Linked DNA regions of Pelodiscus sinensis. The main gene of each other region encodes a partner of the protein of the gene in region 3 in a complex. Links are inferred from orthologs where the notes say so. Each region holds a gene or a part of one and is shown on either strand. Other genes may lie near its edges.

Region 1 (7,132 bases), on a different chromosome or scaffold from region 3:
ATGGCAGGAGACAATCGCTTGATCATTGTCTTCGGTCCACCCTCTCTGGGGTACCTGGTGCTGGCCACTGTTGGTAGACAGGATACTGGGCTAGATGGACCTTTGGTCTGACCCAGTACGGCTGTTCTTATGTTCTCTGACCTGGAAGTCCTTATTTAAGCTAAAACCATGGTTACAACAGAAGAAGGTTTGCCTGAGCGCAGCAAAGAAAAAGGAATCCAAAGCTACCAAAGGAAATATGGTTTCAGATACTTGCCTGCAGTATAGTCTGAGCTATTTCTGGATTCTCTGGATTGTCAAAATTCAAGAGCTGGGAGCCAAAACCATAATAGTATGGCCCCATTTTATGAAGGTCAACCACATTGGCATCAGCACTGAACACCGTCCGCCAGCTTTCCTTGTAAATCTTAGGCAGTTCCACTGAAAGGATCCTCCGTTTGATGTCATACAATCCTTTTGCTAGCCATAGGGGTATTTCCACCTTTGAGCCCTGCATGCACACAACAGAAACCCCACCCCCCAGAAACAGAGGTAAATAAACTCTGACCAGGATAACAAAAAACATGAGATTTAGATGAACACTGAAGATTCACCAGAGAGTGATTTGATGTCAATGTGTAGTAGTGGAAACGAATGTAAATCAGATTTTTATTTGAGAAAGATAACGCCTATAGACACCAGAGAGAGAGCGTGTGAGTGCGCGCGGCGCGTAAACAAACCCTGAAAGGATAAAAACAATACTACAGTGTAAGGAAATTTACAAGTAGAGCCCCAGGATCCTGCAGACACTTTCAAATATCTGCAACTTTGCTCATATGATTCCGCCAACAGGACCACTCCAGGAAGTAAATTTAAGGAAGGAGTGGGGAACCTTCAGGCCTGGCCCGCAGCTTGCCTGGATCCAGGCCCCAAGGCTCAGGGCTCCCTCCCCCCTCCCAAGCACTGGGGATCCCGCACTGGTGCTCCAGCCCCCCATCACTCCATTGCTGGAGTCCCCCCCCCCCCCCCCCGACTCTGGCCTCCGCTGGGGACTCTCGTACATTTCAAAGACGCACCCAGGTGGAGTCCGGAGTCAGCCTCCTGGGGCTCTTGTACATTTCAAAGGAGGAATGTGGAAGTGCCTATCGACTAGTCGATGGAAATTCCATTGACTAGTCAATTAACCACATTTTAACATCCTTAGAATCAATCATTCACTGCAACCAGGCAGCAGAGGCCAAAATAAATAAATAAATAAATAATCAAGTGTTAAAAGTAAGCTATTAAAAATAAACTTCTAAAAAGATTTAAAATGAAAACATTTAAAAAGATTTGTCAAAGGAAACGGTTTCTGTGCTTGTGTAATTTAAATTAAAATGGGTAAAAGTAGCATTTTTCTTCTGCATAATAAGGTTTCAAGTTCAAGGTTTACAACGTTCAGTTGTAAACTGTTGAAAAAGACAACCATAACACTTCAGAGTTACAACTGTCAGGATTCATTCATCTGAAGAAGTGGGTTGTGCCCACGAAAGCTCATGATCCCATCTACATGTTTTGTTAGTCTTTAAGGTGCTGCAAGACTATTCGTTTTTTAAGTTTTTCCAGTTATAGCGGGGTGAGTAATAATTTTTGAAGAGGGGGCCACTTCACAAATTTCAGACCTGGAAGGGGTGGGGCCTCAGGCGGAGAAGGGGAGGGATTGAGAGCTACCCAACTGGCAGCTGTACTTGACCTGGGGTCCCCCCCAGACTTCTGGTGGAAGAGACCTGGAGCAGAGGGAAAGGTACCAGGGGCTAGCCTTCTCCCAGAGTTGTCTGGGTGGAGGTTTAGAATTCACATAACACAGCTTTCCCCCCTCCCCACTAACCTGTTGCCTGGCACCCGCAAGCCCTTTGAAAGATGCAGTTGAAAGGACTCTGTCTCACAGGCAGCTCACAGGCAAGGAGCTGGTGGGATCAAGAGCTATGAGCCCTTTCTACTGCTTTGGTTTCAAGGCCTTGTGCCCGCTGGTTGGAGCTGTCAGGTAACAGCTTTAGATAGAAGCAGGTGAAAGGGCTGAGCTCCCTGGCAACGCGCTAGAGGGGCCGGGAGCTGCCAGCCCTTTTAACTGTTTCTCTTTAAAGGGCTCTTGTGTTGCCCTGTGGCCTGTGGCTGCCAGGCAACCCGCTGCCCGACAGACATGGGGAAGGCAGGAGCCCTTTAAGAAGCAGTTGAAAGAAGCTCCCACGTCTCCAGCTCCCAGGCAACATGCGAGGGGCTGGATCCAGCCCCTGCGAGGCTTTTGCCCACCCCAGTTGCCGACTAACTTGGCTGCCCCTCGGGGGGATTCAGACCTCCACCCTGCAGGTGCCAGCGATGCTGGGGTGCTGCTGGCGGTGCAATGAACGGCAGGGCAGGGTCCCTGGACGACGCCCACAACTCGCAGCAAAGACCTGCGGGACGCCTCGCTGCAGTGCTTCGCGGGCAGCACGCGGGCAGGCCCTAGCCCGGGGGCGGTTAGCAAGCGAAGTCCCCGGCTGCCTAGGGAGACCTGGTTCCGAAGAGACCCCCCCGCGGCCGTACACGTGCTGGAGCCCAGCGGGCCCACCCCGCAGCCTCGCGCAAGCCCAGGCCGAGCGCGCGCTCCCGGGGAGAACCCCATTGGGCCCTGGTCACACCGCGCTGGCGCCTGCATTTCCCAGCATGCCCCGCTCCAGCCGGGAGCCCGTCACTCACACAACGGAGCGCTCCTCAGGCCAGCGGGAAGGGACAAGCCCCGCCCCCACCAGCGCGCGGTGGCTGCCGGGGGTTGTAGTCCCGGCGCCCTCCGGCCGCGCGTTACCTCCGGGATGCAGTCGCCTTGGCCGGCCCCCGAGCCCTTTCCCAGCACGGCGGCCAGGCGGGGCAGAGCCGCCTCCACGCGGCCCGGCAGCTTCTCCTGGGACATCAGGATGTCTCCCAGCGACAGGAAGTTCTCCTCGGGCCCCAGCCCGGGCTCCACGGGGAAATAGGCCTCGGACATGGCGGGGCGGCAACCTCCCAACCCCCTTTCCCGCGCTCCGCCGCGGTCAGGCAGAAGCAGCGGCCAAGGCTGGGGAGCGACAGCGCGCATGCGCCGCTTTCTGCCCGCTCCGCAAGCCGGCGCCAGGCGAGAGCAATCGAGGGCAGCGCGCGCGCCCTCGTCAGTCAGTCACGCTGCAAATAGCCGCGAGGGGTGCCCGGTCCCGCGGGGTGTGGGGGAGGGGCCGCTTTGTGCCTGACGCGGGGGCTGTCTCCCCCCCCCCCGATGGATTGTTGCGGGCGGGCGGCGCGAGCGCGGGGGGGGGGGGGGGGGCGCGTGCTGCTGCCTCATGACTCCAGCGGGGGCGGCCGGTAACCGACAGCGCGTCGTCGGAGCGCAGGCCCGGGGGCCGGCGGGAGGCGGAGCATGTGAGGGGGGAGGGGCGGTAGAGTGGGAGGGGCGTAGCCGCGGGTGAGATGGGGGCGGGGGGGGATCCCCATTTTCAGCGACGAACGACGTGCCCGCAGACCCCCCCTCCTCCCCCCCCCCCGCGGGTAACAAGCCCCAGTGCCGAGCGCCCTTCGCCCGCACCCCCGGACACGCCCGGGCCCCTTTCCTCCCCGGGCAGGTGGAGTCGCAGTGACACCCTGGGGAGACACCGCCCTGCCCTCGCAGTGGTGCGGCTTGGCTCCACCAGCCCTGCCCGGGCGCGCCGTGCACTGCGGGGCTTAACTCGGAACTAACCCGCCAGTGGAGCTACTGCCCTTGAGTAGCTTCATTCAAGTGTTGGTGCTGTCTGCACAGCAGGTATTTCAAACCAGAGCCCTCTGCCTCCCGCTTCCCTTGCTCCTTCTACAATGAGGGTCACGGGTTGCAGCAAGTGGCCCTCCAGCTCGACATGATTTGGACTGTATGTCGAAATAACTGCCAGCTGCATCGCTGCAGACTGTGGGTACGTCTAGACTACCGCGTTTTGTCGACGGAAGTTTTGTCGACACATACTGTCGACAAAACTTCCGTCGACAAAGAGCGTCCAGACATATTGAGTTCTGTCGACAAAGCAAGCTGCTTTGTCGACAGAACTCCGTAGTCTGGACGCAACGTTACAGGCAATAACACCTTCTGTCGACAGAAGGTGTTATGCCTCGTAAAATGAGGTATACCAGCGTCGACAAAATTGCTGAGTTCTGTCGACGTTATGTCGACAGAATTCAGCGGTAGTGTAGACGCTGGTATAGTTTTGTCAACAAAAGTCCACTTTTGTCGACAAAACTAGGTAGTCTAGACATAATGTTGCTGTGTTAGACATAGCCTGGGAACGCCTACCTTCTGGGCAACCCCTCTCCCTCTGCCCCAAAAGTTGTGGCGAAAGGACCTTAAAATGACATGTTGCACCGGATTCAGTAGGAAGACGGTCTCTGCTTCCAAAGAAGTTACAGTTTGGCTGTGTCTAGGCTGGCAAGTTTTTCCGCAAACTACTTTTGCGGAAAAACTTGCTAGCTGTCTACACTGGCTGCTTGAATTTCCGCAAGAACACTGATGATCTCATGTAAGAAATCAGTGCTTCTTGTGGAAATACTATGCTGCTCCCGTTCGGGCAAAAGTCCTTTTGCGCAAAAGGGCCAGTGTAGACAGCTCAGATTTGTTTTGCGCAAAAAAGCCCCGATTGCAAAAATTGCCAACGGGGCTTTTTTTGCGCAAAAGCGCGTCTAGATTGGCACGGATACTTTTAAGCGTTCGTGATAATCTAGACGCTCTTTTCCGCAAATACTTTTAACTGAAAGCTTTTCCGTTAAAAGCATTTGCGGAAAATCATGCCAGTCTAGACGTAGCCTTTTAGATTTAAAAAATGTAAGGAGGAATCCTGACAGAAGTCTCCTTGACTGTAATGAGGCCAGCATTTCCTTCCAAGAATTTAAATTAACACTAAAACCAAATCATTCAGAAGCTTTAAGCTACCCTGTCTAAATCGGGGGCAGATTGCAGGTATGTTCTTGTGGCATTCTATAAACTAGTGGCTTCCCATCAATACCTTGGTGCAAGACAAAGTGTTGTTTTTTTAATTTGATGTAAAGTTGTCTGGCCTGGAATATGAAAGGTATTGAGATACACCCTTCACTTGCATGGACTTGAGGTGCCTCTTTGAATATCTGGGCCTACGTGATTTGGTATTTGTTTGTTTTAGAGTGTGGCCATCTCCTCTGTGATGGCTGAAATCAACCGATCTCGGTGAAAGCAGGTCTTGGTTGGAAGGCCCATGTCTGGAATTTTCTCCTGACAGGTGTCAGATCTCAAATTTGTCAGCATATTGTCTTAGGCTCATCTTTTCAGCTAAACCTTTGTGACTGGATGTTACAGGCACTGGAATAAGTTCACAATGATGCAACTCTGGTAGTGTATTGCTGACAGCAGGAAGTCAGCCTGGATTTCTGGGGCATAGGGGTACAAACCATCCTTGCCTCTCTTGGGCTACGTCTAGACTACATGCCTCTGGCGACAGAGGCATGTAGATGAGGCTACCAGGCATAGGAAAATGAAGCAGCGATTTAAATAATCGCCGCTTCATTTAAATTTACATGGCTGCCGCGCTGAGCCGACAAACAGCTGATCAGCTGTTTGTCGGCTCGGCGCTGTAGTCTGTACGCACGGGTGTCGACATCAAAGGCATTTGTCTACCACCCAGGTATGCCTCCTGGGATGAGGTTTACCTGGGTGGTCGACAAATGCCTTTGATGTCGACACCCGCGCGTCCAGACTACAGCGCCGAGCCGACAAACAGCTGATCAGCTGTTTGTCGGCTCAGCGCGGCAGCCATGTACATTTAAATGAAGCGGCGATTATTTAAATCGCCGCTTCATTTTTCTATGCCTGGTGGCCTCATCTACATGCTTCTGTCGTCAGAGGCATGTAGTCTAGACTAGCCTTGGACATTCTATGTCGACTGAGTTTTAAAGCTATCCTTCCCTATCAGAACCCTAGTGGAGAGCACCTGTGATATCACAATTGCCTGTGTTTGAAGTTTGAATCTTTAGTGCAGCCATTCTAACAGGCACAGCAGGGAAGCTGCAAATTGCACTCCATTGTGCCCAAGGGGTGAATCTGGCCTTATCCACAAATTGTATAAAGACCACAGTGAGTATGAATTTGAATCTATGTGGTTAGGGTTGTTTTTTGTAGTGGAAACATGGGTCATTCTGCTTAATAAGGGACACAGTGAAAATCCAGACAAATTAATGCTAAGTAGGTTTAAGTATATCTTAATGATCTCTTAATGCCAAAGTTTTAATTGTTAAATTGTTTTCATGCTGAGGCAGATTATTGGAATGTAATTCAAATGCCACATTCACTTTAGTGTTACAACTCAATAGACCAGAGATAATGCTCTAGCACAAAGTCAAACTCTTTGGGCCAGATTTTGATCTTGGGTACACAAGTATAACTCCAGAGTAACCTCACAGATTTCACTGGAGTTACTCAAGACTTACATTGGTATAACTGAGAGCATACTTTGACTTCTTTTGTCCTTGTCTTGTTTAGAACTTTTAAAATGTTTTACATTTTTGGGGGAATTCATTTTTTCTTTGCTTAATTAAACCTTGTTTGCCCTGCCTTTAATTGTGCATGTTGAGAAATAAAATAACAATAAAACACCTGCACTGTTACTAAGAATGGTAATCTGTACAATAACAGAACTTTTCTATCATTGTTAAAGATTTTATTTTCCTTTTATCAAGAATTATAGCTTTGTTTATCAGTCTCTCATACCAAGCTTTGAGTAGGTTTGAAAGAAATATGAGCATCAGTGCACTCGTGGGAAGTAGCAATTTGAGTTGTTCTCACAGTTTTTGATGTCTTAAGCAGAATTATATTTTTGAAACCCACTTTGTTTCCCTTTCAATCAAAGACATACTGGCAAATGGACTGGGAATGGATCAAAGATAAGGGTGGGATTTTGAAAAACACTAAGCAGATTTCAGAAGGCGTCAGGAGCTTAATTCTCATCAACATTCTTGAAAATTCCAGCCTGTTTTTAGTGTGGTCAGCAGTAAATTCGAAGGGTGGTAACTAATGTAGCCAAAAACAGTAGCCTGAAAAAAAGCCTGAATAGAAGAATTCCATAGAGAATATAGTGATCATGAGACTTTGAAAAAAGTATGGCCCCAAATATATTCA
Region 2 (7,742 bases), on a different chromosome or scaffold from region 3:
TTTAACATCACCCCACTAATCCTGTACTTTAAATTCTGACACTTTGGTGTAAAACCACTTACCCAATGTGGAAGGTAACAAATGCCTTCATCAGCCACAAATTCTAGCACACCACAATGTGTCATTCGATCTGAATTTTTATTGGTCAGCTTAAATAACATTGGGTATGTAATGTTAAGTCGACCTGGCAGAAGGGTAAAAAAGATACAATATGTTATAAAACTCATAGTAGATTTATAAAGGCTGCAGAGACTGAATATTAGCAGGATAAATAGACAATATCCTAGAGAAATTGAGAGTCTTTCCAAGTACCCCACCTCCAACAAACAACTTATTAAAGGAGATAAAGATCAGACAGAAGACACCTTAGCTAGTAAAAGGAGGAAAGACTGTTTGATATATTTGGTATACTAAAACTATTGACTTCTAGCAGACCCGCATAAATGGAAGAAACCCAGCTTAGTGTCTAGAACCTCCATTCTTCTACTTATAAAATAAACTTTGTGAATTCACTTCAGTCAGTGGAGGCCAAGACAACAGAACCAAGGTGGCAAACACATACAAATATTTGAAATTATTGATAAAGCATGATAATTTCATCAATTTAAGAATTGATACTAGTGTCAGGCAGCTGTTAGAACGCTTAAAACTGTCTGCTTTGCATTTGAACTATGTGCAGATAAAACAAAACCCTTTTAGAAACTATGTAAAAAAATCCTCAAAGTATGGATTTTTCCAGTATATCTTTCTAAATCACATTTTAATGACTATATAAAGCATTTTCTGCTGTTTGCCTACACATACACACAGCACTAAATTTCTAGTGTTCTTACAATAGAATGAAAATTACTTACTGAGTTGATCCAAAGCAGATGGTGGCATAATTACTGCAGAAATTAATAAAAAAGTTACAATAAGAACAGGAACAGCATGGCTACGGAAAGCCACAAAAAATTATACAGTTTGATCATTCCTTCTTGGCAGGCAGCATTGTACCAGGCTTCTGAATTTCTGAGCTACAAATGCTATCAGAATCAGTCTAGACCAGGGCTGGGCAAAATACAGCGTGGGGGCTAGGTCCATCCTGCCAAGCCACAGGATCTGTCCCACGGGGCACCCTGCCAGAACCCTGAGGCACTTGTAAGCTGTCCCTGCATTTCTCTACTCTGCAGGGAGAGGGAGGCTTCATGCAATCTCCCTGCCCCCAGCCCAATCCTTAGCTCCTATTGGCCAGAAACAATCAGCCAATAAGAACTGACCTCAGCCAATCTCCCAGCTCCAATTGGCTGGAAACAGCAAGCCAATTGGAACTGAGATATTGGCCTGAGTGACTGGGGCAGTGGGACTTGAGAGCCGGTGGAGGAAGAGCTTTTATTTTTAAGTGGGCTGGGGCTGCCGGCCAGGAGAGAATTAGGTAAACTCCTCCCGTCCAGCGCCTACCTCTAGCACCCCAACTCATTCCCCCAGATAATCATCTGCACCTCCTGCCCAAGGTGACAACTCCCTCCCAGATTCTGTACCACCTGTTACATCCCTCCCCCAGGACAGAATCTTCTCCTGCACCCACACTCCCATCCTGACCCTACACTCCAATCTCCATACACAAGTCACAACTCCCTCCTCAACCCAAACACCCTGTAAGACCTCATGCCATCTCCTGCACCCCAGTCCCTTATTCCATGAGTCCTTCTGCACCCAATCTTCACCCTAGATCCTCCACAGAAAATTGCGGCCCTTTACCACTTACTAAAATCTTTGAGTGGCCCCCCACCAAAAATTATTGCCCACCCTGGTCTAGACAAAAACATCTAGTAGTTTTAACTCAAAATATAAATTCTGAGTGGGGCAAGTGGGAGAATTTAGAAAGTTTTACAAAACCTAATATTTTAAAAACATTAGCATATTTTCCCAAAGTAATTTTATTTGGTTATAATTAAACAACCAAAATGCTGACAACTCAACAACACAGCATTGGATTTAAATATGGGAGCCTGAAAACAGAGCTGACAAATCTATTCTCCTTGTTCAAACTGAGTGAAACATAAAGAGGAAGTTAAAACAACATATATGGTAAAAACAACAGATTTTTAAATGATTTATATATTAAATGACAAGTAAAGCCACTTGTTTTCTTTTTAAATCATGTGACTTCTAGTTTACACAAAGATAAATCAGGAACATCAACATCAATTAAACTATATTAATGTAAGAAAAGATTATTTAATCTGTGAGTTCCCCTTTAACTGAAATCACAAAGCCATCAATAAGTTTCCATGCTTTATTATGTTTTTGGCCTCATCCTGTTTCTACAATCACCTGCCATATACAATACTACTGAATATTTATATGTAACATTCAGCAGTGTATTATTCAAAATAAAACATGCACATACTCTTCCCGCCTTTCTCCACATCTGATCTGTCATTAGGTCCTGCAAGCATAGATACTGAGAAGCAACGATACTGGGTTGAGAAGCGGTTCTGGAAAACTCGGGGGATTGGATGATCAAACATATTAAAAGAAAACTGTGGGAGGAAAGAAAAGACATTGATCCACTTTGCAAAGACACCAGCAGACTTAAGATTTTTACAAAAGAGATTATTTAAATTCAACGAAGAATACAAGTGATTGTCATTTACAGTAGAGTTCTGATCATCCGGAACCTTTGGGACCTAGGTGGTGCCGGATTATTGGATATGCTGGACTAACAGGAGGTACTATAAGATGGTTTTTATATATATATATATATATATATATATATATATATATATATATATATATATATATATATATATATCACTCTCTCTCTCTCACACACACACACACACACACACACACACACACACACACACACACACAATATACTGTATATAAAGTGTTTTTAACCCTTTTTATTATAGCACAAGCACTGTCCAGCGTCACACAATGCTAGTGGCAGACTGACTCAGTCCAGTACGGTTTTGTTCAGTTCAGCTGCTGCTGCTGCTGCCGCCGCCGCCTTGTGACTCGTTTTTTGCCAAAGCTCACTCACTAGGCTCTTGCCATTTTGATGCCAGACTATCAGGCATCCGTACAATTGGATGCTGGACTATTGCAGTTTTACTGTATTTACTTCTTCAGCACAGGGTAAGAGATATTCAACTTAGGTGTGGCAGAAGGATATTTTTGTACAATTACACTTTTATTTTAATGATAAAAGAGATGACAGTGCATATAGTATAAAAATAAGCACAGTCTTAGGTCTTCATCATTCCTGAAAGCAAATCATGCATAGAAATACAGTAAGGTAGTAAAACAAACGAAAGGGAATATACTCAGAATTTCTCAGGAAATACTCAGAATTAAGGGGAAAGGAGGCGACTCAGACTAAATCTGTGGTGTCCAACCAGTATTGAAGCTATAGCGAATTAGCCACAATCAACTGGCCAAACAGCCAAATGTGGCTAGTGACTAGTTTGTTGGGCACCACGGCTGTAAACTTTTTAAGATTACTCCATATATAATAAGGAGTGCTGTGGCACCTTATATATTAATAGATGTGTTTGGGCATAAGCTATTGTGCATAAAAACCACTCTGTCAGATGGCTGACAAAGATGCATGCATCTGATTAAGTGGCTTTTACATACAAAAGCTTATGCCCAAACACACTGGTTAGCCTATAAGGTGTCACAGGACTCTTGTTTTTGCAGATACAGACAAACATGGCTCTGAGACTTGTCTCCATATATCACTACACAAAAAAGCCACCCTGCAACCATCAATGAGTGGGCAGGCTAAATTGGGGTTGCTTTCTTAGCTATCCTCTGCTCTTGGGAGCAAAGACTTTGCTGGAGAGGTTTCCAGAGAGGGCTTTAAAAACCTCTCCTGTTCCAGTCGGCTACTTGTGAAAGGAAAGGCGGCGGGGCCGGGAGGGAGGGATGGGCGAAGAGGAGGGTTGTTTACTTATGTCCCAGACAGGCTCCCTGAGGCGGCTCCCTCAATGCGTTGGGCCCAAAGGGACAAACTCCGACCCCCTCGCAGAGCAGTGACGTGTTTGTTGCTGGACAGGCTCCCCTAGCGCCTCCCCTGCCCGGGCACAACAATGCACGCGCGATGACTCCGCAGCTTTCTCCGTCCCGTCCCCCTGCGCCCCCCGTTCTTAGGCACCCCCACAAACCCCCGGAAAGGCTTTTACCATCCTGTCGCGCCGTCTTCTTGCTTATACAGCTCTCGGCAGGGGATCCCAGAGAAGCGCCTTCTCGTCTGGGCAGGATCAATGCAGCGACGGCTGCTCCTCCCCCCACAGGAAATCCTCTGCTGAGGGAAAGGGAAGCAGGGAGGAGGAAATCACTGGGCCCTGCCCCTTTGCTCTAAGAGTGACTTTCAGTTTCGACAGGCGTGGGGGCTATCCTACCAGCGGTGAACGCGATCAGCAGAAACCGAACGCCCTCATAGGTCTCAAAGGCGCGAAAAACATTTGGGAGGTTTGGTCCACTGTTCCCACTAAACTACATTTCCCAGAATGCAACGGCTTATCAATAGCCCCTTATTGAGAAAGCCAAGAGACTTCCGGTGCAGCCCCTTGGAGAAAAGGCGGAAGTTGCTTCACAGGCGTCAACATCGTTTTTTGTTAAACAAACGATTTTTCCTATTCACTCCTGAAACAGTTATATTTTAGAGCTTATGGCTTGTTTATATCTAATAGAGGGGCTGGTGAGGAATCTTGCCCATGTCAACAATGGCGACGATGATGGGCGATGTAGACGGACACACAAAATGGCGGTTTCAGGAGCGCTTCGTGGCGATTGGCCAATCGCTCGGCTCCTCGATCGCCACAATCGCAATGTGGTTGGTGGAGGGCTGAGACGATCGGATGGATAGTCCAATCAGAGCTGTAGAGATACAAAGTACTGGAATGTTATTGGGGCGTGGCCAGGACGCTGAGACCAATGGGAATTGGCGCGATTTGGCGCCTGCTTTGAGTGAGACTGAGGAGATCCGAACGGAGGGAGCAACACCAGCAGTCGCCGCTCTCCCGCCTTGCAGCGCGGCGGTAGCGGCCCGGTCTCGGCAATGTTCCTCTCCGACTTCCGTAAGGAGTTCTACGAGGTGATAGTGACTCAGGTAAGCGGCGTCCGGGGCGGGGGGGAGTATGAAGCCCGAACCGGAGCGGAGACAAGCCCAGGGGGAGCGAACCCGCATCCTGAACGGGGCCTACTAACTCCTGGCCCAGTGAGGTAGCGGGTTCCAGCAACCGCCGGGCCGCCCTGCTCCAGCTCCTGTCTCTCTCCCCGCTCCCCGCCAGCAGGTGCTTTGAGGGTAGAGGGGTCGCTCGCGATGGGAGGGCTCCTAGCTAGACTCTGGAGGGTCTTGCGCCTTTCTCCGCGCAACGCCCCGTGGGTCGGGCTGGATCCGCGCTCCGCAGGGTCCTGATAGGGCGGGACCGTGTCACTTAGGGAGCCGCCATACCGAGCCGGGGCCTATGCATTGCCCTGCTTTCAGCCTCATGATAGGCGCTGGGTTCCCCTCCTCTTCCCCCTCCAGAGCCCTGCACCCTGCTCCTCTCTCTCCCACCGGCTGCTGGTGCCAGATGCTGGTTTCAGATCGAACTCGACTGAGCAGGGAGGGTTTGCATTCAAGTTCTGGCTCGGTTGCCCGTAGTGGTCAAGTGGAGTCCTCACCTGGGTACATCACCGCTCAGAGTGTGCTTTGCTTTATTGCCTGGATTCTTTGGAGTGCACTCAGAGCTGAGACGCAAAATGTCTCAGAATCAGCAACAAGGTTTTGGAATGTTTTGAATTGTGAAATGGACAAAGAGCATTTTGGTGAGGACAAGGAGCGGTGACATCTACCTGGGTGTAGCTTGTTGAGAGAAATCCCAGATAGGGAGCTATGTGGAAGTAAAAGCTACTAGGTGCCTTGTGGCCGCTAGGATTTTATATTGAGTTTTACATCAAGCTAGCTGTCTTGATGTAAAAATCAATTACAGGGTTATCTTGACATAAGCCGCTTATGTCAATCTTGCTGTAGGTCTTTATTTAAATTTGGCTTCCAGCATTGGTCATATAAATGCTTCTCTGTGCTTATTTTGTATTACCATCTCCATCACTGTTGATGTAATTAAATCAACACAGTGTCACTGCATTGCATACAGCAACTTATGGCTTTCAGAAGCTGTCCAGTGATGCCCCACATTGATATACAAGTTCTCCAGGCGATGATGCCCACCACTGATACAAGGAGCTACGTGTGTGCTAGGGATGTTAGAAATCCTTTATTTTACTAATTGTGTAACTGCAACAATTCTTAGCCGTTACATGATTATTTGATGTCCCCAGGGGCAGGGCCGGCAGTCAGTATACTCTGGCCCACTCCTGGGAAGTCCCCTGCCACCTTGCAGCTGCTGCCTCCAATTTTTAATCAGCTGTTCTCATGATCCGACTCTCACCTGCCACTCTATGCTGCTGTGTCTGTTTCAGAGACAGCAGTGTGGTGTGATTGGTGGGAGTTGGTCCACCAGGGGAGCTGGTTTAAAAATGAGCTCCCTGTACAGACTTCCTGCTGCCCTTCAATGTGGCTTCTCATACAGCCTGCCTCTCCACTGCTGCTTCCATGGCAGCAGCTTCTGTCTGTGGGGAGCTTGGGCCCACAGTAGAAAGGGGCTGCTCCTGCCTTTGATATAGAGGCAGCAGCACAGGGTGGCGGGCAGCTCCCCTGCATGCTCTTCATATAAAACTTGAACTGATGGGCTGGGACTGAGCCAGCTTGCCAGTCTGAGTTTTAAAGGCAGAGCATGGAGTGGGGTGAGATTTGTTGAGGTTAACTGGGACTGTTAACCAGTAAGCAGTATTTATCAAGTGAACAGTTATCCGGCTGGCCAGGAACATCCCTAGTGTATGCATCAACGAGCAATTTTAAAACTGCAATTGTCTGTATGGTAACCTAATTTTGTTGTGTAGACATGGCCAAAAACTATCAAATGACACTAATTAATATATACCAAGCACTGTCAAGAGTTGTTCTTTTGGTTTCAGAATATAGGGTTATATAAAGTTAGAATGAGAGATCACTTATTTGATTGCAAAAATTTTAAAGAAAAATCCTGTAATAAAATTAATTTACATCAGTTATACGATTGCCAGCTTTTGATAAATGCTTAACATAATTTCAGACATATGAATGCTGAAAATGTTGTCATTTTACCCTTTACATTTTGAAATACAGATTTTAAGATAAGGAAGAACAGATTTATTGAACTTCATCAAAGGGTCAAGACATCAGATGTCAAAGCTGCTGCTTGATAACAGAAGGATCCCATTAGGAAACTGGCATGCCTTTTCACAGAAGAAATCACTTTCTTATGAGTTATTTAGAGCTTCTTGTTAAATCTTTATTGGAAAAACATGTTGCAAAAACATGATATTGCTATAACTTTTTTTGAAAATCGCTATACAGGCAGTCCCCGGGTTACGTACAAGATAGGGACTGTAGGTTTGTTCTTAAGTTGAATCTGTATGTAAGTCAGAACTGGCGTCCAGATTCAGACACTGCTGAAACTGACCGCCAGTTCTGACTTACATACAGAATCAACTTAAGAACCCCAGGCATCCCCAAGTCAGCTGCTGCTGAAACTGATCAGCAGCTGATTCCAGGAAGCCCGGGGCAGAGCAACTCTGCCTGGGGCTTCCTGTAGTCAGCGCTGGTCAGTTTCAGCAGAAGCTGACTTGGGGACGCCTGGGGCAGAGCAGCTGGGGTGCTGCTG
Region 3 (7,945 bases):
TCAAAGACAGGAAACAAGGGATAGGAATAAATGGTGAGAGATGAACTACAGGGTCTCCCAAGAATTTATACTGTGATCTGTGCTGTTCAAGATAGTCAGTAATGAGGCGGCAAAGACTGAACGCTGTGACAAACATTTCAGACAATAAATAATTATTTGAGATTGTTAAATGCAAAGCTGACTCTGAAGTTACAAAGGATCTAACCGAACTGAGTGACCGGGCAACAAAATAGCAGATGAAATTCAAAATGCTCATAAATGCAAAGTAATGCACATTGAGAAAAAACAGCCCAAGTGTACATAGACAGTTGAGACAGCTAATGTGGAATCATCACTGGAGAGAGAGAGCTTGGAGTCTCTGTGGATAATTCTATTCGAATTTCTACTCAATGCACAGTACTGGTCCAGAAGGCAAATAATACGTTAGGACCTATTAGGAAAGGGATAGAAAATAAGACTGAAAATACCATGTCACTATCAGTCCATGGTGCGTCAATAAATACGGTGTCCGATGCTGGTTGCCAGTCTCAAAAAGGATACAGTGGAAGTGGAAAAGGGCAGTTCTGCACCGGCGGGGGTGTGCACCCCCAGACAGACCCTTCAACCTGCCTGTTGCTTAGCAGGAAGCCCTGGGAGCATGCCTTCACTCTTCCTGCAGCCAAGTACCCCGTCTCGTCACTCCTTGCTAGAGCGGTGCACTGGGGTGCACTGTCTTACTTTCACCTCTAGCTGAGTTACAATCGCTCCTCCCTGGTGCTCTCCACACTCCCCTGGTCATCCAGAAGACGGGGAAAGGGTAGGGCGACGCAGGTCCTCCTGCTCTCCCAGCTCCTGGCTCAGGGCCCACAGGGGCCTGGAGAAGGGGTGCCTGGAACAAAATGCTTGGCCTCTTACCCAGTCCAGTCCCTTCCCCTATGGATCCCGCTATTCCAGAAGCTATAGCCTGGCTGCCTTCCTACAGACAGCTTCTCCTTCACCCTCCCCTTGGCTGCCTCAAAATCCCGTTACACAAGTCTTCCATTTGGAGCATGGTCTGCAGCTGCGGAGGGGCAGGGCCTTCTTGTCCCACACAAGTCCCCTACCCTTAGTGTGGGTCCGTACACCCCATCACCTTTACCCTTTCAAATAACCAGGGGTCATCTGAGGAAATGACTGGGCAGAAGGCTTCATACAAGCAAGAGGCAGTACTTTTTCATACAATACAAAACTAAGCATGGAGCTCATGGCTGTGGGATGTTACGATTGCCAGAAGCGTAGCTGGGTTCAAACAAGACCTTGATACATTAATGGCACATAAATCCATCAAAGGCAATTAGCCAGCATGTTAAGAAAGCACGCCGTTGCTCAGGGAAACCCTACTTTGGTGGGAGAGGAGATGAATCATTCCAGAAATGCTTTTGTTCTATTCACTCCTTCTTGAGCTTTGGTGTGGGCCATTGTCGGTGACAGGACACTGGGCAAGATGGAGCAAGGTGATCCAGTGTGGCAGCTCTTATGGCCTCTAGTCCCCAGCACAGTCCCACTTTCCACTTTGTATTCTTACCATTATCTTTCAACACTGTAGCCACGTTCATAGACTCATAGACTCAGACTTTAAGGTCAGAAGGGACCATTATGATCATCTAGTCTGACCCCCTGCACAGTGCAGGCCACAGAATCTCGCCCACCCCTCTTAGAATAATCCTCTCACCTATGTCTCAGATATTGAAGCCTTCAAATACTTTGAAGGCCCCAACATGCAGAGAGTCCTTCAGCTGTGATCTGTGCCCAATGCTACAGAGGAAGGCGAAAAACCTCCAGGGCCTCTGCCAATCTACCCTGGAGGAAAATTCCTTCCTGACCCCAAATATGGCGATCAGCTAAACCCTGAGCATGGGGGCAAGACTCACCAGCCAGACACCCAGAAAGTTCCCTATAGCAACTCCTATCATCCCTCCATTGACCTATTTCCAACTGGTAATGAATGGTCAATTAGTTACCAAGATCATGTTATTTCATCCAACCATCCCCTTATCATAGAATCAGAACTGGAAGAGACCTCAGAAGGTCGTCAAGTCCAGCCCTCCGCTCTAGGCAGGACCAATCCCATCTAAATCAACCCGGCCAGGGCTTTGTCAAGCCGAGACTTAAACACCTCTAGGGATGGAGACTCCACTACTTCCCTAGGTAACCCATTCCAATGCTTCACTACCCTCCTAGTAAAATAGTTTTTCCTAATATCCAATCTGGACCTCTCCCACCACAACTTGAGACCATTGCTCCTTGTTCTGCCATCTGTCACTACTGAGAACAGCCTCTCTCCATCCTCTTTGGAACCTCCCTTCAGGAAGTTGAAGGCTGCTATCAAGTCCCCCCTCACTCTTCGCTTCTGCAGACTAAACAGACCCAAGTCCCTCAGCCTCTCCTCGTAGGTCATATGCTCCAGACCCCTAATCATTTTGGTTGCCCTCCGCTGGACCCTCTCCAATGCGTCCGCATCCTTTTTGTAGTGGGGGGCCCAGAACTGGACACAGTACTCCAGATGTGGCCTCACCAAAGCCGAATAAAGGGGAATAATGACATCTCTGGATCTGCTGGCAATGCTCCTCTTAATGCAGCCTAATATGCCATTAGCCTTCTTGGCTACAAGGGCACACTGTTGACTCATATCGAGCTTCTCATCCACTGTAACCCCCAGGTCCTTTTCTGCAGAACTACTACTTAACAGGTTGGTCCCCAGCCTGTAACTATGCTTGGGATTCTTCCGTCCCAAGTGCAGGACTCTACACTTGTCTTTGTTGAATCTCATGAGATTTCTAGTGGCCCAATCCTCCAATTTGTCTAAGTCACTCTGGACCCTATCTCTGCCCTTAAGCGTATCTACCTCTCCCCCTAGCTTAGTGTCATCTGCAAACTTGCTGAGGGTGCAATCTATCCCCTCATCCAGGTCATTAATAAAGATATTGAACAAAACCGGTCCTAGAACTGAACCTTGGGGTACTCCACTAGAAACCGACCGCCATCCTGACATCGAACCGTTGATCACTACCCGCTGGGCCCGGCCTTCTAGCCATCTTTCTATCCATCTTACCGTCCATTTATCCAATCCGCATTCCCTTAACTTGCTGGCAAGAATATTGTGGGAGACCGTATCAAAAGCCTTGCTAAAGTCAAGGTATATAACATCCACTGACTTTCCCATGTCCACTGAGCCAGTTACCTCATCATAGAAGCTAATCAGATTGGTCAAGCACGACTTGCCCTTTGTGAATCCATGCTGACTATTCCTGATCACTTTCCTCTCATTCAAGTGTCTCAAAATGGATTCCTTTAGGATCCCTTCCATAATTTTTCCAGGAACCGAGGTAAGACTGACCGGCCTATAGTTCCCTGGATCGTCCTTCTTCCCTTTTTTGAAGATGGGCACTACATTTGCCTTTTTCCAATCATCCGGGATTTTGCCCGATCTCCACGACTTTTCAAAGATAATGGCCAAAGGCTCCTCAATGACGTTTGCCAACTCCTTCAGTACCCTTGGGTGCATTAAGTCCGGACCCATGGATTTGTGTACGTTTAGTTTTTCTAAATAGTTCCTAACCTGTTCTTTACCCACCAAGGGCTGTCCATCTTCTTCCCATCTTGCGTTGCTTAGCACAGAAGTCCAGGAGCCGACCTTGTCCGTGAATACAGAGGCAAAGAAAGCATTGAGTACTTCAGCTTTCCCCACATCCTCTGTCACTAGGTTACCTCCTTCATCCATTAGGGACTGCACACCCTCTCTGATCACCTTCTTCTTGTTGACATGCCTGTAGAAACCTTTCTTGTTATCCTTCACATCCTTAGCCAGTCGCAACTCCATTTGCGCTTTTGCCTTCCTGATAACCCCCCGGCATTCTCGAACTATACATTTAAACTCCTCCCTAGTCATTTGTCCAAGTTTCCACTTTCTGTAAGCTTCCTTTTTGTGCTTAAGTACACCAAGGATTTCCCCTGTAAGCCAATCCGGTCTCCTACCAGGTTTGCCTCTCTTGCTACGCGTCGGGATGGTTTCTTTCTGTGCCTTCAATAAGGCTTCTTTAAAATACTGCCAGCTGTCCTGGACTCCTTTCCCCTTCATGTTAACATCCCAGGGGATTCTTTCCATCAGATCTCTGAGGGAGTCAAAATCTGCTTTTTTGAAGTCCAAGGTGTGTATTTTACTACTCTCTTTCCTTCCTTTGGTCAGGATCCTGAAGTCTACCATCTCATGATCACTGCTTCCCAGGTTGTCACCCACCTCTACGTCCCCTATTAGTTCCTCCCTGTTTGTGAGGAGAAGGTCAAGCTGTGCACGGCCCCTGGTCGGATCCTTCAGCACTTGTACCAAGAAGTTATCCCCAACATTCTCCAAAAACTTCCTGGATTGCCTGTGTACTGCCGTATTGGTTTCCCAACAGATGTCAGGGTGATTAAAGTCCCCCACGTTGGTGAGAGGCAAGCTGGGAGAGGTCACGTCTTTCACTGCCGGTACAGAAACTTCTGTTGGTGAGAGCAAGGAGCTTGGCTCTCTCTCCAGATATTACCTCACCCAAATCATCCAGACCACATTGCCTGGGAACACAGATAGCTTTGTCACAGCTGGAGACTTTATACCCCAATTAGCTCTTCCGCTATCTGAACAGTGATTGCATTTGCATTAAAGACTTGCAGACTTATTTATCACCCTTTTTTTTCCAGCACAGTTAATTTTTAAACACAGCAGTCTTACTAGAGATTTGGAAAAGTTACCCACATAATTTTGTTTGGGCCTTGGCTACACTGCCCCACCTCCCCAGTGCCCCTAGGCCTGGGATACAGCACAAGGGGGCGGGGCCTGGCTACTGTACGTCACTTGGGGACAGCCCCGCCTTCGCTGGATTCCAGTGCTGGGCATGGGCGGAGCTACGGAACGGGGGAAGTTTGTCCCTTGCCAGCCTCTGTCGGGAGGGGGCGTGGCCACGAGCTGCCATTGGCGGAGCGGCCGGCGCGCGCGCTTCCCGCCGGGGTGTGAGGCCCGATGTTCGGCGAACGGGCCGTGGAGCTGGTGCGGGGGCTGCACCGCGCCGCCGACGGGCACCTGCCGCCCTTCAGCGTGAGCCCCTCCCCCGGCCCGCCCCTCCCCCCGCCCCTCAGCGTGAGCCCCTCCCCCGCCCCGCCCCTCCCCCCGCTCCTCAGCGTGAGCCCCCCCCCCGGCCCGCTCCTCCCCCCGCCCTTCAGCGTGAGCCCCCCCCCGGCCCGCTCCTCCCCCCGCCCTTCAGCGTGAGCCCCCCCGCCCCTCCCCCCGCCCTTCAGCGTGAGCCCGCCCGCCCCTCCCCCCGCCCCTCAGCGTGAGCCCCCCCGCCCTGCCCCTCCCCCCGCCCTTCAGCGTGAGCCCCCCCGCCCTGCCCCTCCCCCCGCCCTTCAGCGTGAGCCCCCCCCGCCCCGCTCCTCCCCCCGCCCTTCAGCGTGAGCCCCCCCCCCGGCCCGCTCCTCCCCCCGCCCTTCAGCGTGAGCCCCCCCCCCGGCCCGCTCCTCCCCCCGCCCCTCAGCGTGAGCCCCCCCCCCGGCCCGCTCCTCCCCCCGCCCTTCAGCGTGAGCCCCCCCCCCGGCCCGCTCCTCCCCCCGCCCTTCAGCGTGAGCCCCCCCCCCGGCCCGCTCCTCCCCCCGCCCCTCAGCGTGAGCCCCCCCCCCGGCCCGCTCCTCCCCCCGCCCCTCAGCGTGAGCCCCCCCCCCGGCCCGCTCCTCCCCCCGCCCTTCAGCGTGAGCCCCCCCCCCGGCCCGCTCCTCCCCCCGCCCTTCAGCGTGAGCCCCCCCCCGGCCCGCTCCTCCCCCCGCCCTTCAGCGTGAGCCCCCCCCCGGCCCGCTCCTCCCCCCGCCTTTCAGCGTGAGCCCCCCCCGGCCCGCCCCTCCCCCCGCTCCTCAGCGTGAGCCCGCCCGCCCCTCCCCCCGCCCTTCAGCGTGAGCCCCCCCCCCGGCCCGCTCCTCCCCCCGCCTTTCAGCGTGAGCCCCCCCCGCCCCGCCCCTCCCCCCGCTCCTCAGCGTGAGCCCGCCCGCCCCTCCCCCCGCCCTTCAGCGTGAGCCCCCCCCCCGGCCCGCTCCTCCCCCCGCCCTTCAGCGTGAGCCCCCCCCCCGGCCCGCTCCTCCCCCCGCCCTTCAGCGTGAGCCCCCCCCGGCCTGCTCCTCCCCCCGCCCTTCAGCGTGAGCCCCCCCCCCGGCCCGCTCCTCCCCCCGCCCTTCAGCGTGAGCCCCTCCCCCCGCCCCGCCCCTCCCCCCGCCCTTCAGCGTGAGCCCCCCCCCGGCCCGCCCCTCCCCCCGCCCTTCAGCGTGAGCCCCCCCCCGGCCCGCTCCTCCCCCCGCCCTTCAGCGTGAGCCCCCCCTGCTCCGCTCCTCCCCCCGCCCCTCAGCGTGAGCCGCCCCCCCCGCTCCGCTCCTCCCCCCGCCCCTCAGCGTGAGCCCCCCCGGCCCGCTCCTCCCCCCGCCCCTCAGCGTGAGCCCCCCCGGCCCGCCCCGCCCCCCGCCCTTCAGCGTGAGCCCGCCCGGCCCGCTCCTCCCCCCGCCCTTCAGCGTGAGCCCCCCCGCCCCGCCCCTCCCCCCGCCCTTCAGCGTGAGCCCGCCCGCCCCTCCCCCCGCTCCTCAGCGTGAGCCCCCCCGGCCCGCTCCTCCCCCCGCCCTTCAGCGTGAGCCCCCCCCGCCCCTCCCCCCGCCCTTCAGCGTGAGCCCGCCCGCCCCTCCCCCCGCCCTTCAGCGTGAGCCCCCCCCGGCCCGCTCCTCCCCCCGCCCTTCAGCGTGAGCCCCCCCCCCGGCCCGCTCCTCCCCCCGCCCCTCAGCGTGAGCCCCCCCCCCCGGCCCGCTCCTCCCCCCGCCCTTCAGCGTGAGCCCCCCCCCGGCCCGCTCCTCCCCCCGCCCTTCAGCGTGAGCCCCCCCCCGGCCCGCTCCTCCCCCCGCCCTTCAGCGTGAGCCCCCCCCCCGGCCCGCTCCTCCCCCCGCCCTTCAGCGTGAGCCCCCCCCCGGCCCGCTCCTCCCCCCGCCCTTCAGCGTGAGCCCCCCCCGCCCTGCCCCTCCCCCCGCCCTTCAGCGTGAGCCCCCCCCGCTCCTCCCCCCGCCCTTCAGCGTGAGCCCCCCCCGCTCCGCTCCTCCCCTGCCCTTCAGCGTGAGCCCCCCCGCTCCGCTCCTCCCCCCGCCCTTCAGCGTGAGCCCCCCCCGCTCCGCTCCTCCCCCCGCCCCTCAGCGTGAGCCCCGCCGCCCCCACTCCGCCCCAGCCTTCAGCGTGAGCCTGCTCCGCCCCTCCCCCTCCCTTCAGCGTGAGCCCCCCCACCCCTCGCCGGCCTTCCAACGTGAGCCCACCCCCCCGCCTTCTGCGTGTTCCCAGCGTGACTCCCCTCCAGTAATCCCAGTGCCTGCTGCCATTTGGTCTGTTGCAGGAGGATGGAATCCGACAAGTTCTGGAGGAGATGAAAGCTTTATATGAACAGAACCAGGCTGACGTGTAAGTGCTGGTTGGAGCAGGACAGCTAACGAGCTGCCTACACAAGGGAAAAGGGAAAGCAAGCCGCCTCGTTAGAAATGACAAAGACAGGGATGTTTCTCTTTGTTCATGTGCGTTGAGGGGCCATGAAGATTTCAGACGGGTAGCTGTGTTAGTTTTTCATCTGAAGAAGTGGGCTGTGCCCATGAAAGCTCATGATACCATCTACGTTTTCCATTAGTCTCTAAGGTGCTGCAGGACTATGCACTGTTCAAGTTGTTGTCTTCTTTCTGATGATTAAAGAAAAAAAATCTAAGTCTGAAATACTAAGGATGTGATTGATGTCTGTCTTGTTTTGATGAAGGGCTTCAGTGGAAGATCTGGAATTGTGGATTAGAAACTCAGCCTTTAGTTGAAGGGATCAAATGCTGTATCTTTAACAAGAGCTTTTCATCCAGTAGTTTATCAAGCAGTTGAATTAAAGAGGGGATGTAAAAATTCATT
Region 4 (7,361 bases), on a different chromosome or scaffold from region 3:
ATCAGGAGCACCCAGATCGGTCTTTGGGATCCCCAAACTCATCCCTCCCATTTGCCCCCCACTCACATGCTCCTGCATCTTTAGCTCCTGGAACTTGATGAACTTGGAGCCACGGCTCTGCAGATAGAGACGCCCCCCGGAGCGGTTGGTCTGGCACTCCTGGCTCGGGCACATGATCAGCGGCATGAAGGTTGGGGCCTGGATCTGCAGGGGTGGGAAGAGGGTCTGAATCAACCAGCCACCCCTCTCCACCACACCTAACCAGGGAACACAGCTGCTCCCTCGTGCCCAGCTGGGGGCATGACAAAGTAGGGACGTTCGTCATTTGCTGATCTCAATAAGTCTCAGTTTCCCCATGTTTCCTAGCTGCCCAGTAAAGGAAGGGCAACAAATGTGTTCTGAGGACCAAGTAACTGACATGGGTGCTGAAGGAGCTGGATGAAATAGACCTCAACCCACCAGGGGCCCACAAGACAAGGTGCAGTCGAGTGACTAGAGATCTCGTCACCCCTCGGCAGGGAAGCAAGCAGAGACCCCAGCTACAGAACACAGGCCAAGAAAGCGTGAGGTAGGGATCTAAAATCCCAGCTAATCGGTTAAATGGTTAAGCATTAGATTAACCTAGTTGGTTAACCACGTAAACATTAAGCGGGATCTCACCACTCCAGCCCCCACACTAGGGCTGGCTCTGCCAGGGCAGGAGGGGCATGTCCCCCCCCCCGCTCCCGACTTCCCAGGCTGTGTTGACTGCCTGGGCGCCGTAGTGAACAGGCTCCTGCAGGGCGAGACAAGACTCTCCCAGGTGTAAACCTGTTTCACTGGCTGACTGGAGCACAGGGTGGGACTAGTCTCTGGAGACATAAGTCCATGTGGCTGGCTCAAGAAACACCTAGGGGGTCTGTCACATCAATGGGGTCCCTGGCACAACAGAGGGGTATAGTCCTGTGGACTGGTGACAACAGCTCAGCCATTCATCAAATTAAATTCATAGGTAGCAGGCTTAAAACAATCCAAAGGAAATATTTCCACGCACAACACAAAGTCAACCTGTGGACCTCTTTGCCAGAGGTTATGTCCAACACTATAACACGGTTCAAACAGCTAAATAAATTCATGGAGAACAGGTCCATCGATGGCTATGAGGCAGGATGGGCAAGAATGGTGTTCCTAGCTTGTGTGCCAGAAGCTGGGAATGGATCATCACTGAATGGTTACCTGTTCTGTTCATTCCCTCTGAAGCACCCGCTTTGGCCACTGATAAAAAACAGGCTAGTGGTCTAGATGGACCTTTAGACTGACCCAGTATGGTTGGTCTTATTTTCAGCCCTGAGCTGACAGCCAGCCGGCAGGACAGCTCAGCCCAGCCCCTTCCACTCACTGGCTGGTAGGTCTCCGCTCCACACTGATCACAGCTGTAAGTAGCCACCACCATCATGGGCTTGACCTCAGTGACACGGGTGACGATGCCGCGCACGGTGACCAGTTTGCCAATGCAGTCGGCTTTCACGTCCCGGATCACGCGGGCCTTGGAGCTTGACGGTGCCTTGAAGTAGAGCTCACTGGAACAGAAGAGAAGGCCCACGAGTTAGAGCCATAGCAGGGGCCAGGGGGAGGAGAACCTGGTTGGGGGCAGGGGAGATTTAAAAGAGCCAGGAATAACAGGACCCCCACACCTCCCCTCACATGCACTCACAAGCGGCGCAGCAGCTCTGGGGGGTACTGGTTTTGGGGTCTGCGTGTCTCTGCTGTATCGTGGCCACGCTGCTCCAGCATCAGCCGGTGCTCAATGTACACGTCCAGGGCATCCTTGTGCACTACCTGGAGTGGGTAAACAGGGACTCTGTCAAGGTGCCTCAGCCACTCTCCCAAAGCTCCTTCCACCCACCAGTATCCCTCCTCCCTCACCACCCCTCTCCTTTACCTCATGCTGCCTGTGAAGGGGTAGCAGCTCGTGCACAGCGTCGGCAAAGAGGCGGGTGTAGCGCTTTGCATTCTCGCACACAGCATCCACTAACTCAGGGTCCTCCTCTGCCAGATCATCCAGCTCCACATACAGAGCCACCTGCTCCCTCTGAGCCAGGGCTACCTGCGGGGCAAGCACAGGTTGAGCAGCTGGGGGTGAGGCCCGGAGCCGCCAGAAGTGGGAAACATGGGTGCAGAGGGAAGTAGGGATGATAAATATCAGTTAATTGAATAGTTGGGTAAGCTCATGAATTCTTATCGCTTAGTCAACCATTCTCTAACCCCAGCCTCACTCCCGAGAAGCCCCCGCCACTCCACACGGCTGCTGTATCAGCGGTAGCTTTGTGGGGTGCCAGGTGGGAGCTGGTCCATAAGACGAGCCAGCGCCCCTCACGACTGGCTTCCTGTCGCTCTATGCTGCTGCCGCTGCTAAGGCAGTTGCGCCCCTGCGCAGGAGGAGGGCTGAGCGGAAGGGAGCCGGGCTGCCCGCCCACCCCGCTCCTAATACACTTCGCAGCGCCTCAGCGGGGGCAGGCCCTGGACCCAGCGCAAGCCAGGACTGAGCCGGGCCGCCCTGCTCGAAAATGCGCTGGGAGGGGAGGGGCAGCGCGCAGCCGGCGGCTGTTGCTTCTGGCGCTCGGCGCAGCGCCCCAGGGCGAGGGGGGACGTTGAGTCTCACCAGCCGGTCCCGGTAGGGGAACTCCTTGCCATGCGGGCCGGGGCGGCAGAACTGCTCCAGGAAACGCTGCACCTTCCCTGGGGGGGGGGGGGGGGGGAGAGTGTCAGTCCAGCCCTGCCCCCAGCGCGGCCCCGACCCTCCGCCCCCCCGTCCCGGCCGCGCGGCAGTAACCACCTTTCTCCGCCGCGTAGTCCTTGGGCGCCATGGCGGGGACGGGGCCTACGGGTCGCCGCCGGAGTCAGCGCAGGCCGCTCCCGACCGACCCCTCCTCAGGTTCCTCCCGGCTGTCGCCACAAGCAAAAGTGGCGCGAAACCAGAACCATACCACGTGTCTGGCCCCGGCCAATCAGGACCTGGTCCCACCCCGGGGCCACGTGATCCGCCCAGCCCGCAAATCGGCGCTCGGGCCGAGCTGAGCCTGTAAGCCCCGCCCTCACGGCTCCATCACGTGACAGCAAAGTCCCCTCGCAACAGCCGGGTTCGAGCAGAGCCGGTGAGATTCCCCCAGGCCCCGCCTCCTCTTAAGGGAGCCGCGAAGTCGGGGAGAAGAGGGAGGTAATGGGCGGGGGGCGCAGGGTGAGCCGGTAGCAGGGGCTGGGATTCGAAATGAGAGCGGGGTTTCCTGGCAGGGGCGGAGGGTGTCGGGCAGGGGACGGGGTTTCCGGGAGGGGGCGGGGCCAGGTTTCAGGGCAGGGCCCCACTCACGCTCTCTTTCCCCCCACCCCAGGCCTCCGAGATGCTGTCTCAGATTTTCATTCTCTCCTCCAAGGGAGACAGACTCGTCTACAAGGACCGTATCCTACCCTGCCCTGCGGGCTCCCCAAACACCGTCCTAGCACCCCGGACTCCTCCACGTCCCCCAGCTCCCCAAATGAGGGATGTTAGCATACAGTTGTGTAAGCGATTAACCGATAAGCCTGGCTTTATCGGTAAGTCCTAACAACTACACACCCTCCCCCCGCTTGCCCTCTTTCGATCTGGATCCCATAGAACCCCCCGCCCCACACCCCAAGGTGAAGCGAGAGCCGATATGCACAGGGGGCTGCCTTTTAAGCTCCCTGCATGTGCTGGCTTCGTGGAGCTGCCTTGCCCTCTTGCTGCCTCCCACAAACACAGAGGCAGCAGCATGGAGTGGCAGGGAGCTCCCTGGGAGTGGGACCAGAAGCACACTGGCTGCACTCCAGGGACTATCGAATAATTGTGTAACCACCAAGATTTGGTGTGGTTACATGGTTATTAAACATCTAACATCCCTACACCAAATCCTCCTGCCTCTAGTGCTCTGGACCCCTCCAAGGCCATCTCCCCAAATACCCTGATATAGCCCCCTAGACCTCCCCCTTCCAAATGCCCCCTTGCATAGCTCCTCAAGTGTCCCATGCAGATCATCTTGGCCCCCGGGGGAACCCCAACTGGGCACCACCTCCACATCTGGCTTTCTAACTGGGCACTACGGGGGGAGAGGGGGAGCTCTCAACCATACTGCCCAGATGGGATGATTTCTCTTTAACCCCCTCCCAGTGCGTGGTGAGGCAGCAGGGAGCAGCATGGACCTGACGGACACTTTCTATAGGAAGATCACAGCCCTGCCTAGGGACCAGGCACCTGTCTTTATGGTAAAGGGGTGGGTTCCACAGCTCTGCAGTAATGTGGGGGCATCACTATAGGGATGAAGCATCTCTACGATAACAGAAGTGGAGAGCATCTGGGCAAGTATGTGGGAGAGAGGGGTACCCCCTGGTGAGGGAGAGGGTCCATATAACTCTGCTTGTGTTTCCGCTACAGGTGCATGAGGGGCTGCACTTCGTCCACGTGCGTCACGCCGGCCTCTACTTCGTGGCTACGACAGGGCACAATATCTCCCCTTTCACCATCATTGAGTTTCTCAACCGGTGAGAGGGGCAGGTGTAACCCCAGGGCACAGGGGGTAGACAGGGATATGGTGGAGCTCAGAGGATGGGGACACACAGCGGGAGGGGATGCACTGAGCCAACCCTGCCCTCACCTGTCTCTCTCCTTTCCCACAGGCTGGTGACGCTGATCCATGATTATTGTGGTGCTCTCAGTGAGAAAACCATTAGCCTCAACTTCGCCCTCATCTATGAGATGTTGGACGAAATGCTGGTAGGCAAGCACTGCTGAGGAGCACCTTACCTGGGGCACTGCTGCAGGGAAGCTTGCAGCTCTAATCTCCTGTGCCAGTGGCAGGGGCACAGGTGGGCTCTCCCCCTCACTCTGTACTCTCCCCCCATAGGACTATGGCTATGTCCAGACCACAGCACCTGATGTATTGCGCAACTTCATCCAGATGGAGCCAGTGCTCAGCAAGGCCTTCAGCCTGCTGGACCTGGGCAGTGTTGGCCTGGTGAGTCCAGTTTTCCCCCCCCTCCCACTGTCGGCCTGGTGAGTCCAGTTCCCCCCCAGTGTCCAGGCAACATCTGACCTGTGAGCCCCTTAAAAACACCATGCTCGCCCAGTGAACGTCCCCAAATCCCCTGCTCCCCCAGTGCTGCCTGGGCAGTGTTGGCTTAGCGAATCTAGCCCCTGAACCATCCCATGTCTCCTTCCCACCAGCACTCTTTGGGCAGTGTCAACTTGGTGAGCTCCGTCACCAAATCTCCCAGTGTCCTGTGGGCAGCTTTTCCTGGATCTGGGCCCCTGGGTAGCATCAGCCTGGTGAACTTGGCCCCCCAGATTTCCCCCCACCCCCATGTTTCCTCCCCTTCAGCACCTTCCCAGGCAGCATCAGCCTAGAGAACTCCCCCAAATCCCACCCGTGTCCCCACCTCCCACTGTGCCCTCCCAGGCAGCAACAGCCTGGTGAGTCCCAAATCCCCACTGCATCCCCTGGGCAATGTCGCCCTGATAAACCCAGCCCCAAATCCCCCCAGCCCCCACCCCCGGTCAATGGCCTGATGATGCCACTCTAAGCTCCGATCTCCTCTCTCCCAGCACCCCTGAATAGCAGCAGCCTCACGAGCCCTCCAAATTCCTCCCCGCCCCCCCATATTCCCTCAGCCCCCTTAGCCATCGGCTCCTCTGGGGAAAATGTTACCCTGAGAGAGATCCGGTCATGGGGTACCTAGTATCCCCAACCCCAACCCCTGGGAGCCCATCAAGGCACCATCCCTGGGCCCTACTCCGACCTTCTCCCCTTTGGTTTCAGTTTGGTGCGGAGACACAGCAAAGTAAAGTGGCTCCGAGCTCAGCCACCAGCCGCCCTGTTCTGCCCCCCCATGGGGACCAGGTGAGACACCCCCAGCAGTATGTTGTCCCCCCCCTTCCTGCTCTAGCATGGAGCGGGCCCCTCTGTCTGGGATGGAGAGGGCCTGCTGGCAGCAGTCACATGAGCACTGGCTATCTCCCTGCAGGGTGCGAGGAACGAGGTGTTTTTGGACATAGTGGAGAGGCTGACAGTCGTCATTGCTGCCAATGTGAGTCAGAGAGGGGAAGGTGTGAGCCGGGGGTTTTGCATCCTGACACACAGCCCCTCCATCAATTTACAGGGTCAGAGCAAAGGCTGAGCTTCTAACCAGGCCCAGGGCGGGGATCCCTTCAACCCCCTAAGGCACAAAATTTAGCCCCACAGCTTCCCCACCACAGAGCCTGAGCAGCCCTCCCATCGTGCACCGCCTCCCAAGGGAACCTGCTCCGACCCGTGTCATTGTCTGGGCCTCACCCCATGTTCTCCCCAGGGTACCCCCATGAAGGTCGACATCCAGGGAGAAATCCGCCTCAAGAGCTATTTGCCTAGCTGTCCCGGTGAGTAATGGCTGCAGCCCCACAGCCTGAAGCAGCTCACGTGGGCCAGACCCTGGTGTTTCATTGCTGAGTAGATATACCCATTGTGAGCGGGAGAAAGCAGGGCTGGGGGCAACGGCGACTGGCCCCGGCCTGGGCAGCTCTCCCCTGGCTGAGTCCCTTAATACTCTCTCCCCTCCCTGTAGAGATGCGCATTGGGCTGACAGAAGAGTTCTGTGTGGGGAAGTCGGAGTTGCGAGGTGAGTAGCCACTGCCAGTCTCTATTCCGCCTCACAGGGCCCCCTCATTCTGACTCCCCGACCTTTGCTCACTGCAGGCTACGGCACCGCTGTTCGCGTGGACGAATGCGCCTTCCACAGCTCCGTTAAGCTTGATGAGTTTGAGAGTGCCCGTGTCCTAAAGGTCAACCCCAGCCAAGGGGAGGTGAGCCCTGTGCATAGCAGCTGGGCCTCTGCTCCTGGTGCAAGACCATGGGACGCCCAGTCTGGCCCCATCCATCTGTGCCTTCAGCTCCACCAACCTGACCACATCGAACACGAGCTGGCCGAGTACACGACCTGCACTCTGCAATTTCAAAAGCCTCAGCCCTCTAGCCAAGTCTCACACGCTGTGTATGAATCAACAAACCCCTTCTGGGATACACATCTACCGGGGCCCAACTCTGTGCCCTCCGTGGAGCTCCTCTGAGTCTATTCCCCACTCAGAGAGAAGGGTGCCCCCAGGGGTTTCCTTCCTGGAGGCAGCATCTCTGCCCTTCCCTCATGGCTTTATCTCAGAGTCCTCAGTAGTTCTCCACACGGAGCTGTCCGCAGTGCTGCTGCTCTTTCAGCCAGCCAATCTCCCCGTCGGCATACCTTGAAGGCTCCAGAAACATGAACTGCTGCCTGGCTTCTTGCCTTTTGGTTCTGCCATACGTTGCCCCAAAAGGCCTCCAGGAGGGGACCTTGGGGCCTGATCC

The links.
Region 1: the proteins of GINS1 (region 3) and GINS3 are in contact, whole or in part, in a cryo-EM structure (PDB 8Q6O), measured with the Xenopus laevis proteins. The link is inferred for Pelodiscus sinensis from reciprocal best matches to the Homo sapiens genes GINS1 and GINS3. Residues at the interface, in NP_001085502.1 of Xenopus laevis: Met1, Phe2, Cys3, Glu4, Ile7, Ile10, Arg11, Leu13, Gln14, Ser17, Asp18, Gly19, Gln20, Leu21, Glu49, Arg55, Asp57, Leu58, Pro60, Thr61, Lys63, Phe64, Arg65, Cys67, Cys68, Arg71, Arg74, Cys75, Val77, Ala78; in NP_001080618.1 of Xenopus laevis: Trp2, Pro4, Tyr5, Met6, Pro7, Val8, Glu16, Asn17, Phe18, Leu19, Ser20, Leu21, Glu22, Asp23, Leu24, Leu25, Ser27, Gln28, Ser37, Phe39, Pro40, Arg41, Leu42, Phe44, Leu45, Pro63, Trp65, Leu66, Gly69, Leu70.
Region 2: the proteins of GINS1 (region 3) and CDC45 are in contact, whole or in part, in a cryo-EM structure (PDB 6XTY), measured with the Homo sapiens proteins. The link is inferred for Pelodiscus sinensis from reciprocal best matches to the Homo sapiens genes GINS1 and CDC45. Residues at the interface, in NP_066545.3 of Homo sapiens: Leu146, Tyr147, Glu149, Arg151, Glu158, Thr165, Ser166, Val167, Leu168, Lys170, Lys171, Asn172, Ser173, Gln174, His175, Phe176, Leu177, Pro178, Leu195; in NP_003495.1 of Homo sapiens: Arg18, Gln37, Phe40, Gln41, His44, Val45, Gln46, Tyr47, Thr48, Leu49, Val50, Pro51, Glu64, His65, Gln68, Phe69, Thr394, Asp395, Ile398, Leu401, Asp402.
Region 4: GINS1 (region 3) and MCM7 share a complex: the UniProt entries of both Homo sapiens proteins name them as parts of the CMG helicase complex. The link is inferred for Pelodiscus sinensis from reciprocal best matches to the Homo sapiens genes GINS1 and MCM7.

The regions. Positions count from the first base shown.
Region 1 is NC_134722.1:46,266,790-46,273,921, reverse strand, and holds the start of GINS3 (DNA replication complex GINS protein PSF3), read right to left. Parts: upstream 3,016-7,132; 5' UTR 2,981-3,015; coding exon 2,801-2,980; intron 491-2,800; coding exon 257-490; intron 1-256. Other genes in the region: diacylglycerol O-acyltransferase 1, read left to right, coding at 3,309-3,387. UniProt on the Homo sapiens protein: Required for correct functioning of the GINS complex, a complex that plays an essential role in the initiation of DNA replication, and progression of DNA replication forks.
Region 2 is NC_134725.1:17,708,528-17,716,269, forward strand, and holds the start of CDC45 (cell division control protein 45 homolog), read left to right. Parts: upstream 1-4,737; 5' UTR 4,738-5,053; coding exon 5,054-5,104; intron 5,105-7,742. Other genes in the region: UFD1 (ubiquitin recognition factor in ER-associated degradation protein 1), read right to left, coding at 63-184, 855-887, 2,393-2,525, 4,176-4,178. UniProt on the Homo sapiens protein: Required for initiation of chromosomal DNA replication. Core component of CDC45-MCM-GINS (CMG) helicase, the molecular machine that unwinds template DNA during replication, and around which the replisome is built.
Region 3 is NC_134713.1:198,381,234-198,389,178, reverse strand, and holds the start of GINS1 (DNA replication complex GINS protein PSF1), read left to right. Parts: upstream 1-4,931; 5' UTR 4,932-5,014; coding exon 5,015-5,089; intron 5,090-7,397; coding exon 7,398-7,462; intron 7,463-7,945. UniProt on the Homo sapiens protein: Required for correct functioning of the GINS complex, a complex that plays an essential role in the initiation of DNA replication, and progression of DNA replication forks.
Region 4 is NC_134734.1:7,475,530-7,482,890, forward strand, and holds the start of MCM7 (DNA replication licensing factor MCM7), read right to left. Parts: upstream 3,009-7,361; 5' UTR 2,847-3,008; coding exon 2,816-2,846; intron 2,719-2,815; coding exon 2,642-2,718; intron 2,087-2,641; coding exon 1,922-2,086; intron 1,819-1,921; coding exon 1,694-1,818; intron 1,560-1,693; coding exon 1,379-1,559; intron 205-1,378; coding exon 67-204; intron 1-66. Other genes in the region: AP4M1 (AP-4 complex subunit mu-1), read left to right, coding at 3,378-3,435, 4,163-4,257, 4,427-4,533, 4,669-4,765, 4,896-5,006, 5,808-5,888, 6,013-6,075, 6,337-6,403 and 2 more. UniProt on the Homo sapiens protein: Acts as a component of the MCM2-7 complex (MCM complex) which is the replicative helicase essential for 'once per cell cycle' DNA replication initiation and elongation in eukaryotic cells.